Linked DNA regions of Diceros bicornis minor. The protein of the gene in region 1 binds, or shares a complex with, the protein of each later gene. Links are inferred from orthologs where the notes say so. Each region holds a gene or a part of one and is shown on either strand. Other genes may lie near its edges.

Evidence for each region. The genes of interacting proteins can lie anywhere in the genome.
Region 2: CC2D2A (region 1) and TMEM237 share a complex: the UniProt entries of both Homo sapiens proteins name them as parts of the tectonic-like complex. The link is inferred for Diceros bicornis minor from reciprocal best matches to the Homo sapiens genes CC2D2A and TMEM237.

What each region holds. Positions count from the first base shown.
Region 1 is NC_080747.1:11,985,296-11,992,422, forward strand, and holds the start of CC2D2A (coiled-coil and C2 domain-containing protein 2A), read left to right. Parts: upstream 1-4,097; 5' UTR 4,098-4,206; intron 4,207-7,127. UniProt on the Homo sapiens protein: Component of the tectonic-like complex, a complex localized at the transition zone of primary cilia and acting as a barrier that prevents diffusion of transmembrane proteins between the cilia and plasma membranes.
Region 2 is NC_080749.1:79,490,031-79,497,769, reverse strand, and holds the start of TMEM237 (transmembrane protein 237), read left to right. Parts: upstream 1-4,717; coding exon 4,718-4,725; intron 4,726-4,952; coding exon 4,953-4,963; intron 4,964-5,880; coding exon 5,881-5,937; intron 5,938-7,562; coding exon 7,563-7,700; intron 7,701-7,739. Other genes in the region: MPP4 (MAGUK p55 subfamily member 4), read left to right, coding at 971-1,162. UniProt on the Homo sapiens protein: Component of the transition zone in primary cilia. Required for ciliogenesis.

The DNA.
Region 1 (7,127 bases):
ATTTGGAGTAATGAAAAAGTTTTGGAAATAGTGGTGATGGTTGCACAACATTGTGAATGAATACATATCCACCTAAAACTGATGCAATATTATATGTCAATTATATCTGAATAAAACTGGGAAGAATGGCCCAAATGCAAATTTTGTTATATAGATATATTTTACCACAATAAAAAAATATATATCTCCAGACCCAAAAGACTTTATAGACAAGTTCACAGAACAGATACCGTGTGCATGTGTGTGCGTGTTTGCATGTATGTGTGTGAGAGGGAGAGAGAGAGAGAGACAGAGACAGAGAGAGAAATAGAGACAGAGAGACAGAAGGAGAGAGACAGAGAAGGACAGAGAGATTAATCTGCTTTGTTTTGAGATTAGAGTATCCTTTATACTAAAATAATACAAGAAAGGAAAAACAATCTCAATTTTGAAAGTAAAGCCAAAAAGTCTAAATATTAGTAACTAAATCCAACAATTAATCTTTTAAACATCTCGACCAAGTTTAGCTTATCCCAGGAATGCAAGAAAAGTTTGACATTAAAAAGCCTGTTAATGTAATTCACCACATTAAAAAATGAAAGAAGAAAAATCGTATTTGATTACCTCAAAAGATGCAGGAAAAAACCTCGTGATACATGATTCAACACTTATTCTTGATTAAGAACTCTTTAGCCAGCTAGGAACACTTAACCTAAAAGAGTGAGATTTTTGCATTTTGATTTAAAACAAATCTGCTAGATTCGTTTATTTTGCTTGCATCAGAATTTCTGCAAGAAATGATGTTTTTGAATGATGTTTTTTAATAATTTCAGACCTTTGTGAGGAGATGTATAATTCTTATGAACTGGTTTAGTTTAGTTAAATATTAAAAGATAAGAGAGGTCATAATCAGAAGGTTATTAGCACAAGAGTGGTGAACAAATCCTACCTCTTATGACAGTTGACCACTTTGAGTACACGATCTCTTACCGTAAACCTCTGCCATAGACTGAACTGTGTCCCCCCAAAACTCACATGTTGATCCCCAACCCTCAATATGACTGTATTTGGAGACAGGGATTTTAGGCGGTTATTAAGGTTAAATGAGGTCCTCAGGGTGAAGTCCTAATCTAATAGGATTGGCGGCCCCATTGGAAGAAGAAGAGAGAGTTCTCTCTCTCCCCATCCCAATGCACCAAGGAAAGGCCGTGTGAGGACCCAGCAAGAAGGCAGCCATCTACAAGCCGGGAAGAGAGCTCTCACCAGAAACCGAAGGGACTGGCACCTTGATCTTGGATTTCTCAGCCTACAGAACTGTGAGAAAATAAATCTCTATTGTTTAAGCCACCCGCTCTATGGTATTTTGTTAAAGCAGCCTGAGCTAAGACAACATCCACACTTTTTTAATTTAATAAACCTTACAGCATTTACTATGTGCCAGGATTTGACCAATATTAACTTACTAAATCTCATAACAACCCTCTGGAGTAGTCACTATTATTATTATTAACCTCAATTTACAGATGAGGAAACTGAAGCCTAGAGAAGTTAAGGAAGTTGTTGAAGATCCTCAACCTTAAGATCCTGCATTCAACTTCTTTCTCTCTTCTCTCCTGGGACTCCACTAGATGTGGTGGACCACTCAATTTCTCCACCATGTCTTTGATCCACTCTTTCCTATTTTCCATTTTTCTGTGCCACATTTTAATTTTTTAAATTTCTCTTTTGCATCATTAATTCTCTTTTCAGCTCTCTCATTAGTAGTTTAACACATCCTTTGCTTTAAAAAAAAAATCATAACTTTACTATTCATTTCTAAAAGTTCTAGCCGGTTCTTTTTCACATTTGCCTAATCTTTTTGATAGCATCTCACTCTTCTCATATTTTCAAAGCCTCCTTTTCAGTTCTTATATGGTCATTGTTTTTCTATATTCTCCATCTGATCATTGTATTATCAGAAGTTCTTGAGGATCTAGTAGTGCTCTCTGATTGTCTGCAGACTCTTGATTGTTTCCCCCTGTGTTGTCTAATTTTGGATTGTGAGCTCATCTTCAGCAAGGTTAATCTGTGGCCATCCTGAACTGACTACTTGAAAGTGTGTCCCTCCAGAAAAGTTTTGTATTTTTCTTTTGTGCTCTTGCTTGGCACCCCACAGGGATCCAGTAGCCTGAGACCATTTTTTAAAATTTGTCACTTAGGGGGTTCCTAAGTGATATAGGTAGCATAAACAAGATGCTTCAACAGCATAGTGCAAGCCAATGGTTATGAATTCTCTGGAGAATATTTTTTCCACCGTATGCAGAGCACACACTACAAGTTCTCTTGTTGTCTCCTTATGCCAGCACTAAATAATAGATAGTCTCTTTCAATCTAAAAGCCTGTTCTTCCACTTCTGAGATGTTTTCTAATATTACTGCTTTGATAAATTCTACCTTTTCATTTCCTTGGTTCTCTCTTTCTATAACTACAGGTGTGGAATTTCTTAACCTGAAATCCTCTCATTTTCTCTATAATACTTTTTTGTAAGGGCGATATGCTTGTTTTTTCATTGGAGAATTCAGAAACGACGATATCTTGGATCTAGTCTTTGTGGCTATTCAGTTTCTCCAGAAAACAATATTTCACGTTTTCCAATTTGATGCCTGTGGAGGTGGCACAGGGGGACCTAAAGATATATGTTTAGTTGCCTCAGTTCTGTGAAAAGGAGAGCAACCTGCCCACCTCTCCATTTTGTATCCAGTTTCCAGCCCTGAGACTCACCCACCCTCTGCCAAACCTGGGAACTTGAGACCTAGTGTCTCTGGTTCAACTTCCCTGGAGAAGAAAGGTGGCTTTTTGGACTGTAGATGGTGTTCTCCTCGTGTCTTCAGATCATCTTCCCTCTGTGTGTGTCCGTCTCTGTGCCTGAATTCCCCCTTTTTAAAAGGACACAGTCATATTGGATCAAGGCCCACCGAATGACCTTATTTTAACTTGATTACCTCTGTAAAGACCCCATCTCCAAATAAAGTCACATTCTGAGGTACAGTGGGTAGGACTGCAACATTTCTTTTTTGGAGTAACACAGTTCAACCCATAACACCACTGAGCCTAATTAAGAGCCTCTCTGGAGTTCTGCAGAGTAGATCAGGTCATTTCCTCATTCTTACTGCTACCTGCCCCCCACCACCACACACACACACACACACACACACACACGCAGATACACGCACAGAGACACACATACATACACACACAGACACACACGGACACATGTACACAGACACACATGCAGATACACACACAGACATACACATACACAGAGACACAGGGACACACATACATACACATACAGAGACATGTACACAGATACTTACACACGCAGAGACATACACACAGATACACAGACACACAGACACACATAGACACATACACACGGGCTCACATAGACACAGACGTACACATACACACATTCAGACACACAGATACACACAGAGACCCAAATACACACACATACACACGTATACTTGGAGTGTGGCTTTCTTTGGTCTGTTCATTCCATTACTCGTCTATCTACTTTGCCTCTTCTCCCATTTCCTTTGCTTTTTTGAGCCATAACATTTATGTCCTCTTTCAGTAATTTTAGAGGGATTCAGAGAATAAGCAGAGATTAGCCTGTACGTTCAATCTTCCACCTTTAACCAGAAAACACTCCAGAGCCACATTCGCTGGTGCCCAAAGCCCCTCCAGGAAGCCTTTGCTGTGGATAAGCTGGACACCCTCACCCTACAACTGCGGCCTTTTATGGTTTTAACCACCCACCTCTGAGCATCGCCTGTGTTTTACCAGAAATGCCCAGTGACCCCTGATGACATGAGGGAGGCTATCTTACAACTTGACCTAATTTTTGCCCAGGTCCCCCAAGCTGACTTCTCTTTGTCCTTCTCCTGTAGGCTGTGCTCCTCTGATCACCCCACATGTTTGTTGTGTTCCACTGCTGGAAGTAACCTGCCACTTTAAAAGAAAAAAAAGCCACCGAGTGACCTTCCTTAGGAACGGGTTGCTAAGCGGGTGTTTTTGCTTGGAGACTTGGCTGCAGCTTCCAGGGAGCAGCCTAGGGGCCGCCCCAGCATTCAGCATTTCCTTTTGGACTCTTTTAGAAGATTCAACAATAGGACCTGTCTCTCTCCACTTTCCCTTCGTCCCAGAAAGCAGAGTCTGCACAGCGCCTTTGTAAAGTTCCTTAAGGTAAAGCAGTTCTTCCCGGGAGCGGGGCTGCTGCAATGGTGTCCCGCTCTCAGTCCCCAGGCTTGGAGTTCAGCCTCTCCCCTCGGTAACCTGAGTGGATTTAATGAACTGTAAATTAAGGGTTCTCATCATTACTATTGATGTTTTACTTTCTGGAATTGAAGCACAGAGCGTTCCTTGGACTGCTTAGATTGAGCTGCTGCCCGGTGTCTGGTGTGCAGGCTATGTCAGTCAGGCTCATCACAGCCCCTGGGTGGAATTCCTCCCAGAGGGTCGGTCCCTCTGCTTCCTGCCTGGGACTTCCATGCCGTCCTGTTGCATCCGGTCTCCCAGAAACATTTGCTGCATGTTGCCGTTCTGGGCCTTTCAGTTCCAATTTGTTTGAGGGGGGAAGTACTAGTTGTTGCAGCCTTCACCCTTCCTCCCATTAGACAGAGAAAAGGCCACTACAGACACAGGGCTGTGGATTGCTGTTCTCTCCAAAAGACCTCAAGATAATCTGCTGGCTGCGATTTAAGCTGATTATTTCCCTTCATTGCAAAGAGGTGCTATGAAAAGCTAATAAATCTAATGGGAAATACAAGTCTGTGGTTGGATTTTCATATCACCTTTTCTGCAAGTAAATTCAGCACCAGAATGAAATCTCTCTCGATATCTCTCTCCTAGAGCTCATTTAAAGAGTCTTTCATTCAAACATTTATCGGGCATCCACAGTGCACCAGGCAATGTGCTGAAGTTGAGAGTGTGCAAAAGTGAATAAGATAGGTCAGAAGCTCTGAGTTTCCTGGGAAGACAGACCTGTAAACAGATCATAACAGTAGAGTGAGCTGAGTGCCATAGGAGATTTATCACAGGGTTTAAAGTGCTTAGAGCACAGCAGACTACTCCCAGGGAGGGCCTGGGGGCACCTGGTTCATCGTGTGTGCGCCCTGGGCATATATCACAGAGCGCAGCTCAAATATGGGATTTATATGTGCTCTTCAAGGGCGATGTGTGTTATATTGAGCTGATTAAGGTCCCTAACCTTAAACTATGGGAAGCTACGGCTGGAATAACTTGTAGAATTAGGTAATAAATTTTAAAAAGGGTGTGTGTGGCCCCTGCCCAGCGTAGGTCCAGGCTCCAGCTCTGCCAGTCTGGACAGAAAAAGCTAAGCACTGTACACAGGGAGAAATGCCCATGGGTGTGAGGGCAGGGGAAGGCTTCAGAAACACCATAAATAGAAACAGAAAGAAAACTGCCCTGGGCCCAGCTCAGGGAAGGGAGAGGGGATATTGGTTATTAGAGCCAGAGAGTTGAACTTGGGAACCAAAGATGGTACAGGGGGCCTGATCTAAGGTCTTTCTTATGACTCTCCTTCTGTCCCCTAAGCTCTTTCCCTCCCCACACGATTCTTCTACTTTCCCTCTCTACCATCACATTTTTTAATAATAACGCTTACTGGTATTGAAAGCCTGGTCCAAGCTAGGCATTTTACTACACACATTTTATCATTTAACCCTTATAAAATCATCACCCACTGAGGTAGGATTTATGATGGCAAGTTTACAGATGTAGAAATCTCAGAGAGGTGAAGGCATTGCTCCAAGAGCACACAGCTGATAAATAGAGCTGGAATTGGAACCCAGGTCCATATAATTTTTTACAAAGGCCTCACTCTTTCTATAAACCCATGTTTTCACAGTTCTGGAGTAGGATGCACCCACTGTATTGTTTTTTAAGCAGCCAAGGTTGAGATGCAGTGCATACAATGGTGCCCTTTTCATATATCTTCATTCCTTTTCCCCTACATCCTGTAGAATTTGCCACAGGGGCCCCTGGATAGGACTTTGATCCTCTTGACCCTCAGAGATAGTCCATTTGTTTGGATGAAGGTGTCACTACTTTCCTTGAAATATGTCTGTGGTTTCTGCACTGAGTTAAATAAATCATTGACTTAAAGTAGCCAAAGCCCGTTCTCAGTGGGACAATGCTCCACTTCAACTCAATCATCAATATTTCCAGAATAGTTGGCTAGCATAGAATGGTAACTGATATCATCGTAAAAGCGAGACTAAATGGTGAGGCAGAGTGGCACGGAAGAGGACTCTGGGATCACAGTCTTGGGGTCAAATTCTGAATGTGACGTTGAATAACTATCACCTTGGGCAAGTCATGTAACCTGTCAGAGGTTAACCTCAGAGGAAACCTTGGTTTCCTCGTATGTAAATTGAGGCATGTGCTACTAAGTTAGCAGAGTTATTGTGAGGCCTCATGATCACATGTATCTAGAGAGAGCACAAAATAAGTCTGCAGTAAATCACAGCTCTTATTTTGATGTTACCAATAGAAATATATTAACAAGCGCTCAACGCAAGATGACAAGCTGCATATTAAAGTGGGGCAATATTAATTTATCTTTTCTTAGCAACAGTGTTCATGAAAACATAAATTTTGATGTTATTTGATTTCCTTAGAAACTCATTCAAAAGTAATGATCAGGAAAGAATGAGAAGAAAAAAATCAACCCCATTACATTTTTCATTTTCTACTTCTATTTCTTTCTTTCACATACAATATATTTTTTTAATTTATTGAGAAAGAATCTTTTTTCAGTCACTAAAATATATCACAGTTCTTTTGTTCCCGTTCATAATTACCAGAGGTGTTTATTAGAGAGGTTTCGTGTCCTGTGGCATTTCATTTTTATTATCTGCCCCTCCTTCTCTCTAGATTACCTCCCCATCCTTTTGTTTTCCTAGCTGCTTTCATCATCTCTCTTCCTCTGTTTTTTGTAGCCCACGAGGAGGTCTGGATGGGAGACAATGGAATTTCAGATGTTTTATTTCCCTTTAACGTGCTAATCCCCCACTAGGGTCAGTGAAACCTTGAATACCTCAGATGAACTGCTTAAATGACTGAGTCCCAGCTAGGAGTCAGAT
Region 2 (7,739 bases), on another chromosome or scaffold:
TATCATTTCAATTTTAGTATATGTGCTGCTGAAGTGAGCACAAGATAGCTTTATATTATCCTTTCTCTATCATTATTTTTATGTTCATATGTTTTCAATGATTACTATATCAAGGTCTGACTCTCCAGTTTGCATTTCAGACAGTGGAGTCCATGGATATATTCTCTGAGTCTTACAGGCATTTAAAATTGTGTTCTTATTTTTATGGTAATCTAAACAAATGAACAAAATTGTTTCTGGATCATGTGTAAGGTCACCTTGTAAAGCAGTACTGCCACGAGATTCCAGTGCCTGCATTTATATTTGTGTTTATGATGCATTGGCAACGAGTTGTACTATTTTAATTGTTGTCGACAAATAAAATAAGAACAATGAATTTACTGCATTAGTGCTCAGTGAAGGCCAAATGACCTTCACTGAATGAACATCTCACAATAGTAGAAAGAGACGATATTAGGGTGAATTAGGTCATCATGAAGGAAAGGGTAATTGAAGTATGCCTAATTCAATAGAACTGGGTCAGAGCATCCTCATGTTGAAAGTGGTCATTGTGTATTGCAAAATAATGTCATTCTTATCAGATTAATGTTCATTTGAAATTTGTGTTTAAATTTAACTGGTAAATTTTCTTTGGTTTTATGTTGTATATTGTTTGAGAGCTTCAAGTGTTTAGATAATAGAACAAGATATTTTAAGTCCAAATGGGAAGTTGAGAGGATTGGTCTGTCTACAAACTGTTACTAAATTTTGTGAAAACTTGCCCAGGGAGACGTTAAGTAAGACTAAAGATAGAAACATAAGTTTTGTGGTTTAGAATAAAGCACATTTATTTGACCTAACTTTTCATAAATAGCTTCACAACCAAATGTAACAGCTGCATAACAGTAATCATAACAAGCTGCATATTATTTCTATTGGTCTCATTACTCGTTACGTTTGTGCTATCCATATGTTTCTATTTCCCCTGAAGGATGAAGATCTACAAGAGATGGAGGATTTAGCCCAAAAAATGGAGACTCAGTTTGGCCAGTTTTTTGATCACGTGATTGTGAATGACCGCTTGCAAGATGCATGTGCCCAGCTGCTATCTGCAGTTCAGAAGGCGCAGGAGGAGCCGCAGTGGGTGCCAGCAACGTGGGTTTCCTCTGATACTGAGCCTTAAGGAGGCCTTCCGCTTCATGCTGGAGTTTTAACAACGTTCACCTGTTACAGAGCTCTGGCCTAACAGCTGCAACCTAAAACAGCAGCATTTGCCCTGTTACAACGTGTGCAACTTAAAAGTGCTGCAGTTTATTAATTAATCTTATTTGAAAATATATTTGTATTGTATAGTTATGTAGAGTTACCTATTTGGCTTTTAGAAAAAAATGTTTTCCTTTACCTCATATGCAGCAATTGGTAGGAATATGAACCATGTTAAGTCACTGAATATAAGAACCTTTTATAGATTTCATATGGTCTTTGTACAATTTAGATAAAAGAGCTTTCCTAAATAAAATAAGTATTTAATTTCAGAAACTATATTTTACCTTATGAAACTTCTGTTTTATGAAAATGGCTTTCACTTGACTAACTCAGCAAGAAAGAATATACACAGTTCACACCTAACATCAAAACCTACAGAAACTGCACTACCCTCAGCACATTACACAACAGGCTACAAGGAAAAAGTCGTCTCCTGCTCAGAGCTGTAACAACCATCAATTTTCCTAAAAGCCAATATCTACATTTATGCCTAAACTAGGAAAGGGCAATAGACTTCAGTCCTAGAGACCAATATCTGAGAAAACCACAGGATGAGGATATTATTCCACGTAGTCTTGTTTTTCTTTCTTCCCTAGGTCTGAGACTTTCAGTCGCTTCTCCTGCACCTGTTATGTGTTTATCTTCTGCATCATCCTCCAACTTTCTCCATATCCACACCATCCCTCCGCTCGCTTTAACTATGAGTGTGTGCTTCAAAATATTTGTAGTTTATAAATTTAAAGTGAATATTATCTCTGTAGAAAAACCCAACCAAACAAAACGAAGAAAATTGTCATTTTTAATGATGCTTATGTGAGCCCAGATTTGATTTTATGTTGTGCTTCGAGAAAAAGGTTTCCCAAACTTGATTTACACAGTTGTGGGATGGAGGGCAAGCAACTGGAGAAAATTTGACAATTGCCTGTGTTAACACACACACACCCCCAAGCGAACCGAGCCGAACCCTGGGGCCCCGCGGCTAAACGCGTCGGTGCCCGCCTCCGACGCCCCGGAACGCGGGGCTGCGCAGAGCGGCGGCGGGCGGAGACCTGGCCCGGGCGGGGGCCGAGCCGGGCGCCGCGAAGCCCGCCTCCCGGGGAGCAGGCTCGGGCCGCGGCGGTTGCGCCGAGGAGCCCCGCGGGGAGGGCGCCATGAGGGCCGACTCGGGGGTCGGGCCGGAGGAGGGCGGCCCGGTGAGCGGGGAGGGCGCGGCGGGCCGGGCGGAGGGCGCTGCGCTGACAGCACCTACCCCGCGCGGGGCCCACGCCGACGCGCTGGGGCCCGGGCAGAGCCCCGCTCCGGAGCGTGCGTCCGCCCCCCGGAGCCCCCGGGCCGGGCCGGGCCGGGCCGAGGCGGAGGCTCGCCCCGAGGCCGGCCCCGAACTCGCGGAGCCAGGCGGGAGGTTGCCGGCGGCCGGGGCGCACGTTGCCATGACGACGCGGCCCGGGCCCTGCGGTTCCCGGGCTGCGGGCGAGGCCCCCGACTGCCTCCCCCCGGAGGGTCCGCCGCCGGGAGGAGAGCGCTGTTAGCCCTTTCTCCCTCCCGCCAGCAAATCACCGCAACCACTTGATGGCTACCCCTCGCCCGCCGGCGTCTCTACGCCCGGCCGCGCAGGCCCGACTCCGCCGCCGCGAGTTCCGCAGGGGCAGCCCGGGAGGGCCAGCCCCGCGCCCGGAGGAGGCCGCGGGCCCCAGCGGCCTGGGGGCGCAGCCCGATGGCGCACTGCGCCTGCGCGCGGCCGGGGGGCGGGGTGCGCGCCGGGGAGCGGGCGGCGGCCGGCGGCCGGGGAGCCGGCCGGAGACGGAATGGGGAGGAAGCAGGTGGTAAGCGAGCCTTAGTTACTTTTGAGTTAGGAAGATTTTGTGTTCGCTTGGGCCGTTCTACTTTTGAGGGGCGTAGAGGCTGGCCGTCTGGATGGGTGACACGTCATTTTTGCGGGACTTTTGAAACGTGGCGTTAACGGCGTGAACTGAGCGCCTGGGTAGAACGCCGGCCTTAGCATCTTCGGGACAATAGCGCTTTCGTGGAACTGTCGTTCTTTCCAGTCGAATTGTGACTACTGGACAGTATTAAGACAGCCTGCCGTGTCCTACTCTTGTAGCATTTGTGTTGCTACACTGTTTGAATGATGGATCGCTAAATGGGACAGTTGTAGAATACAAGAGTGTCTAAAATTTAACCCTTTTGAATCGGTGTCTTTTGCAAGCCGAGTGAGATACTGATTTCTAGGCATTTCTGTTTGTTTTATTTTGAAAGATTTCAGAATGCTTCTTAACTGTAATTTCTCTGAACTGCAAACACAACTTTTCCTATTCATGTAAAGTAGCATTTATAAGATTTTTAAAAAAATTCTTTCTGCCCTAAAATGCATTCTTCACGCTGTATAAAATGCTTAAAACCTCCGTGGTTTCCCGTTAAATTAAAAGAAAATCTAGACTCCTTCTCTTGGTCTTCAAGACCCTGATTTTAATCTGGTCCCTGCCTTGGTAACTGTCTGGCAGCCTTACTGGCCTTCTTTTATCTGGAATACTCCAAGCCCAATCTTCCCTAAACGCCTTTGTATTTGCTCCCCTTTGGCTCCTTTCTTATTCAGGTCTCAGCTCAAATATCTCAGAGACTTTTCCTAACTAAAGTGGCACTCCTCAGCCTCCCTCATTTATTACTATATATACACACACACACACGTATATATTACTGTAGTAATATACGTAGTAATACATATATGTTACTATAGTAATATATATATATTAATGTTATCTTCTAATACTTAACCACTAGAATGTAAATTCCATAAAAGCAGTCTCTCTGTTTTGTTCATTAGTGTATCCCTAATGCTTAGAACAGGGCCTGCCCTTTAGATAGAAAGGAATGTAGGAAGGAAGGAATTTTATATGACATTTAGAAATGGTGAAACAAATTTAAAATTGTCCATCTGATTCTCATCAGTATCTCCTGGGTTTCACTTGATGAACAGGGTTATCAAAAGATTTGAAATACATGGAGTAGAGATGCTCTAAAGCTTTTCTTACAAGCAGTTTTCTTCTTCTTTTCCCCCAAAGCGTCCTCCACGAGCCCTTCCACCTGTGCCAAGGTAAAAATAATTTAATTTTATTACTGCGTTTTAAAAATGTAAAATGAATAAAGTGAAAAAATTATACCATTACAAAATGATAATAATTCAGAAAAGACTTCTTGAAAATTTTAGGAATGGCTTCCTAAAAGTTTAAAGGTGAAAAATCCTTGAGTCATTAGTGTAAGTAACGGTTATAGTTAATGTTCTGGTTCAGAGCCTGACTGTTAGCGTGGTAGGATGATGGGTCCGTTCTGAGTGTTTAAGTCTCTTGTTTATCAGAATTCTGATCCTCTTTTGTTTGCTAGAATAGTTTCCGCAGAGTTTAAGCTGATTTTAATCAGTGACAAAATAAGAGTTCTTAATCTGTTTAATCCACTTTATTAATAGACAGTGGGGAATATGTATATGTTGGTTCAGAAAATATTAGGGTTATTTTATTGGCAGTCTTATTAAAGAGGTTATTACTTATAAATAATAAGCTAGTTTGTAAACTAACTGACTGTGTGAAAGCTAATTTTATTTTTAATTTGTAATGATTTAAGTCAAATTTCAGTCTGACAATATAATATATTTCTAATTAATAGTTTCTTTTTTTGTCTTTGTCCTGATTAAATTTGGTCGGTGTCATGTAAAGTGCTATTCAAGGTGAGTTAGTTCACTGTTACTGTAAAACTTTCTAAATGTAGTATTTGGTGTTCAAAAGTTAGTTTGATTCCTTAATGTTTCTCTTAAATTTGAATCTGAATGGTATAATTTATAATACTACAATATCTTTTTATCATAATAATCTCCTCTGACTGCCATTTTTTAATGATGGTTGATGTATAATATTAGTTATGTGGTTGATATTTGACCTTGCAAAAATAAAAGCACTCATCCCTTAATGGAGTCACCCGGAACCTAACTGCTGGCCATTTATAGTTCTGTAATAGGGACTGCATCTTTCTTTGTCTCACTGAGCCAGGAGAGACTGGGTTATGTTACACTAACCGCCAAGTCTCAGGGACTTAGTATCATACAAGGTTATTTCTGGGTAATATGGAGTCCATTGAAGCAACAATCCAGGACAGCTGCCTTTCACTGCCCCTTCACTGATGATGCGGTGATTCAGCCTACTTCCATCCTGTGGTTCTGCCATCTTAACGTGAGGCCTCCTCAGTTGCCACAGCAAGGGAAGAGAAAGCTGGAGGGTTACTCACTGGCTCTTTCAATATTTTGGCCCCAAAATGACACAGATCACTTTTGCTCGAAACCTATTGGCCAGAACCAGTCATAGGCCACACCTAAGTGCAGGGCGGGGGTGGGAGGGGTGACGAGAATATTTGGTGAGCCCACTTTCTGTGTCACAGTTTCTAACATTACTACCAGCAATGAGCTATTGGTGCCACGCTGTGGGCTCTCTTTGACTTTGTCAATTTCTTGCCTTCTTCTCCTAATATGTAGAAGTTGGCTGGACCCAGGGAAGAGAGGGAAAGTTCTTCCCTACTTCAAGTTCACTTTTGAGTGTTCCCTGCATTGAATTTTAGACAGCCTTTTCTGTTGTTGTTCTTTCTGTTTTGTAGATGATATTCCCCTTAGTCGTCCAAAGAAAAAGAAGCCCAGAACAAAAACCACACTAGGTAAGAAGTTGTTCTTTGTTGTATGGGGTCACATGTTTTTCCAGAACCTCAGATGTGATAAACATCACAGATCAAGTCCCTGCTGTGTTGAGGATAGAATCAGGGTCACTTTGAAGCGGTGGGATTCCTGGTGGTAGTGAGGGACAAGGCAGGGTTCAGTCTGAAGAGTGTCTAGAAGCATTCATGGAATAAAGGGTTGTGCCCCCTAAACTCTTACTTCCAAAACATTCTCTGACTCTTTGAGGTCTTTTATCCCTAGATAACATAAGTTGTCTCAAGCTGAGATTGGTTCCAGACCCTTGAACAGGATACTGGATTTAGAGACCTAAGGTTCCTGATCCCTCATTTCAGTCAGAGAATCTCTACAGTAGAGCGTGAGTCTGAAGGCAAGGCTGTATAATGCAGGTAGTAAAGCTCTAATAATGAGCAAGTCTTAGTTATGCACTAGTAATCCTGGATGTTCTATCAGTAACTCAAATTCAGCACGTCCAGAATTCATCTTCACCTTCAACAATAAATCAATTTTTACTTCTCACTTACGAATTTCTGTTAATGGGACCCCCCCACTCTCCCAGTCATTCAAGCTGGAAACCTCAAAGTCAGCCCTCTAACTGTTCCCTTCACTCTCCTGGCTGCCTCACAAGCTGACTTATTCTGTGGTATCTTTTATGTCTCTTTTCCCCCTTTCATCTCCACTGTCACAACTGTAGGTATTTAGATCTCTCTTCTCCCTGAGCTGTTGGGGTAGCCTCCAGCATTGCTCTGTACTTCTAGCTTTCCTCCACTCTGGTCGGTTCTGCCCACTACTGCTGGTGAGCTTCTTAAAGCTCATAGCTGATCATGCCTTCCACCTGGTCAGAAACTTACATTGGCTTATTGCCTGACAAATGGAGGAATAGATGGGGGGGGGAGAGAAGAAGAAAGAAATGGAGATGAGTGCATAGAGAGAGAAAGACATATAGACACAGAACAGAAAGAAAAGAGATGCAAAGAGACTTAGATTCACAAAGATACTCACTGAAATGCTAGGCTCTAAAAATACACTCACAGTTAGTTATAGACACACATATGGACCTAGAAAGGTCACAAGTGGAGGATGCGGTAAAGACAGTGTTGGGGGAGCAGAGGTGCAGTCTATCCCAGCTACCAGTCTTCCTTCTTGTAAAAAAGAGAAAAAAATTCAGTGCCCCAGACCAAAAAGGGGATATATTGCTAGGCTTTTATTAAAATTGTTCATTTAGGGGCTGGCCCAGTGGCATAGCGGTTAAGAGGCTGAGAATTCTTAAGGCATGAGACAAATAAGAGTTCTCTATGGTGACGGTTCTGTTGTGTTTTCACCTTTTTGAAAGTTCTGAGGCAATTTCTCCTCCTCCTCTTCTTTTGTTCTTTCTAGCCCACTGGCTTTTTTCTTCCTCAGCCTTCCTTATTCCCTCATTTATTTCTTTTCTCAACTTAAAGCCCAAAGTTACAGGTGAGGAGGAAGGAAATCAAGATTTGGGGCACAATCAGTTCTGTATGAGAAGGGGTTATTCTATAGGAAACATTCCAGTTCCCTTTTTCCTGTCTTTTTAAGACTTAGTGATCTCTGCTCAAGTTATCTCATTTTTCCCACTGTTTTTTTGTAGCTAGTGCTTCTCTGGAAGGCCTTGTTCAAACTGCTGTTCATAGGCCTTCTGAGGGCAGTGAGCTGCCAACTAAAGACCCCAGAGAACATCCAGAAGCTCCTGTTCAGAGGAGACAGAAGAAGACAAGGCCACCTCTTGGTATGTAGAGAAACCAAGGTTAGGTTGTGATTTGGAGAG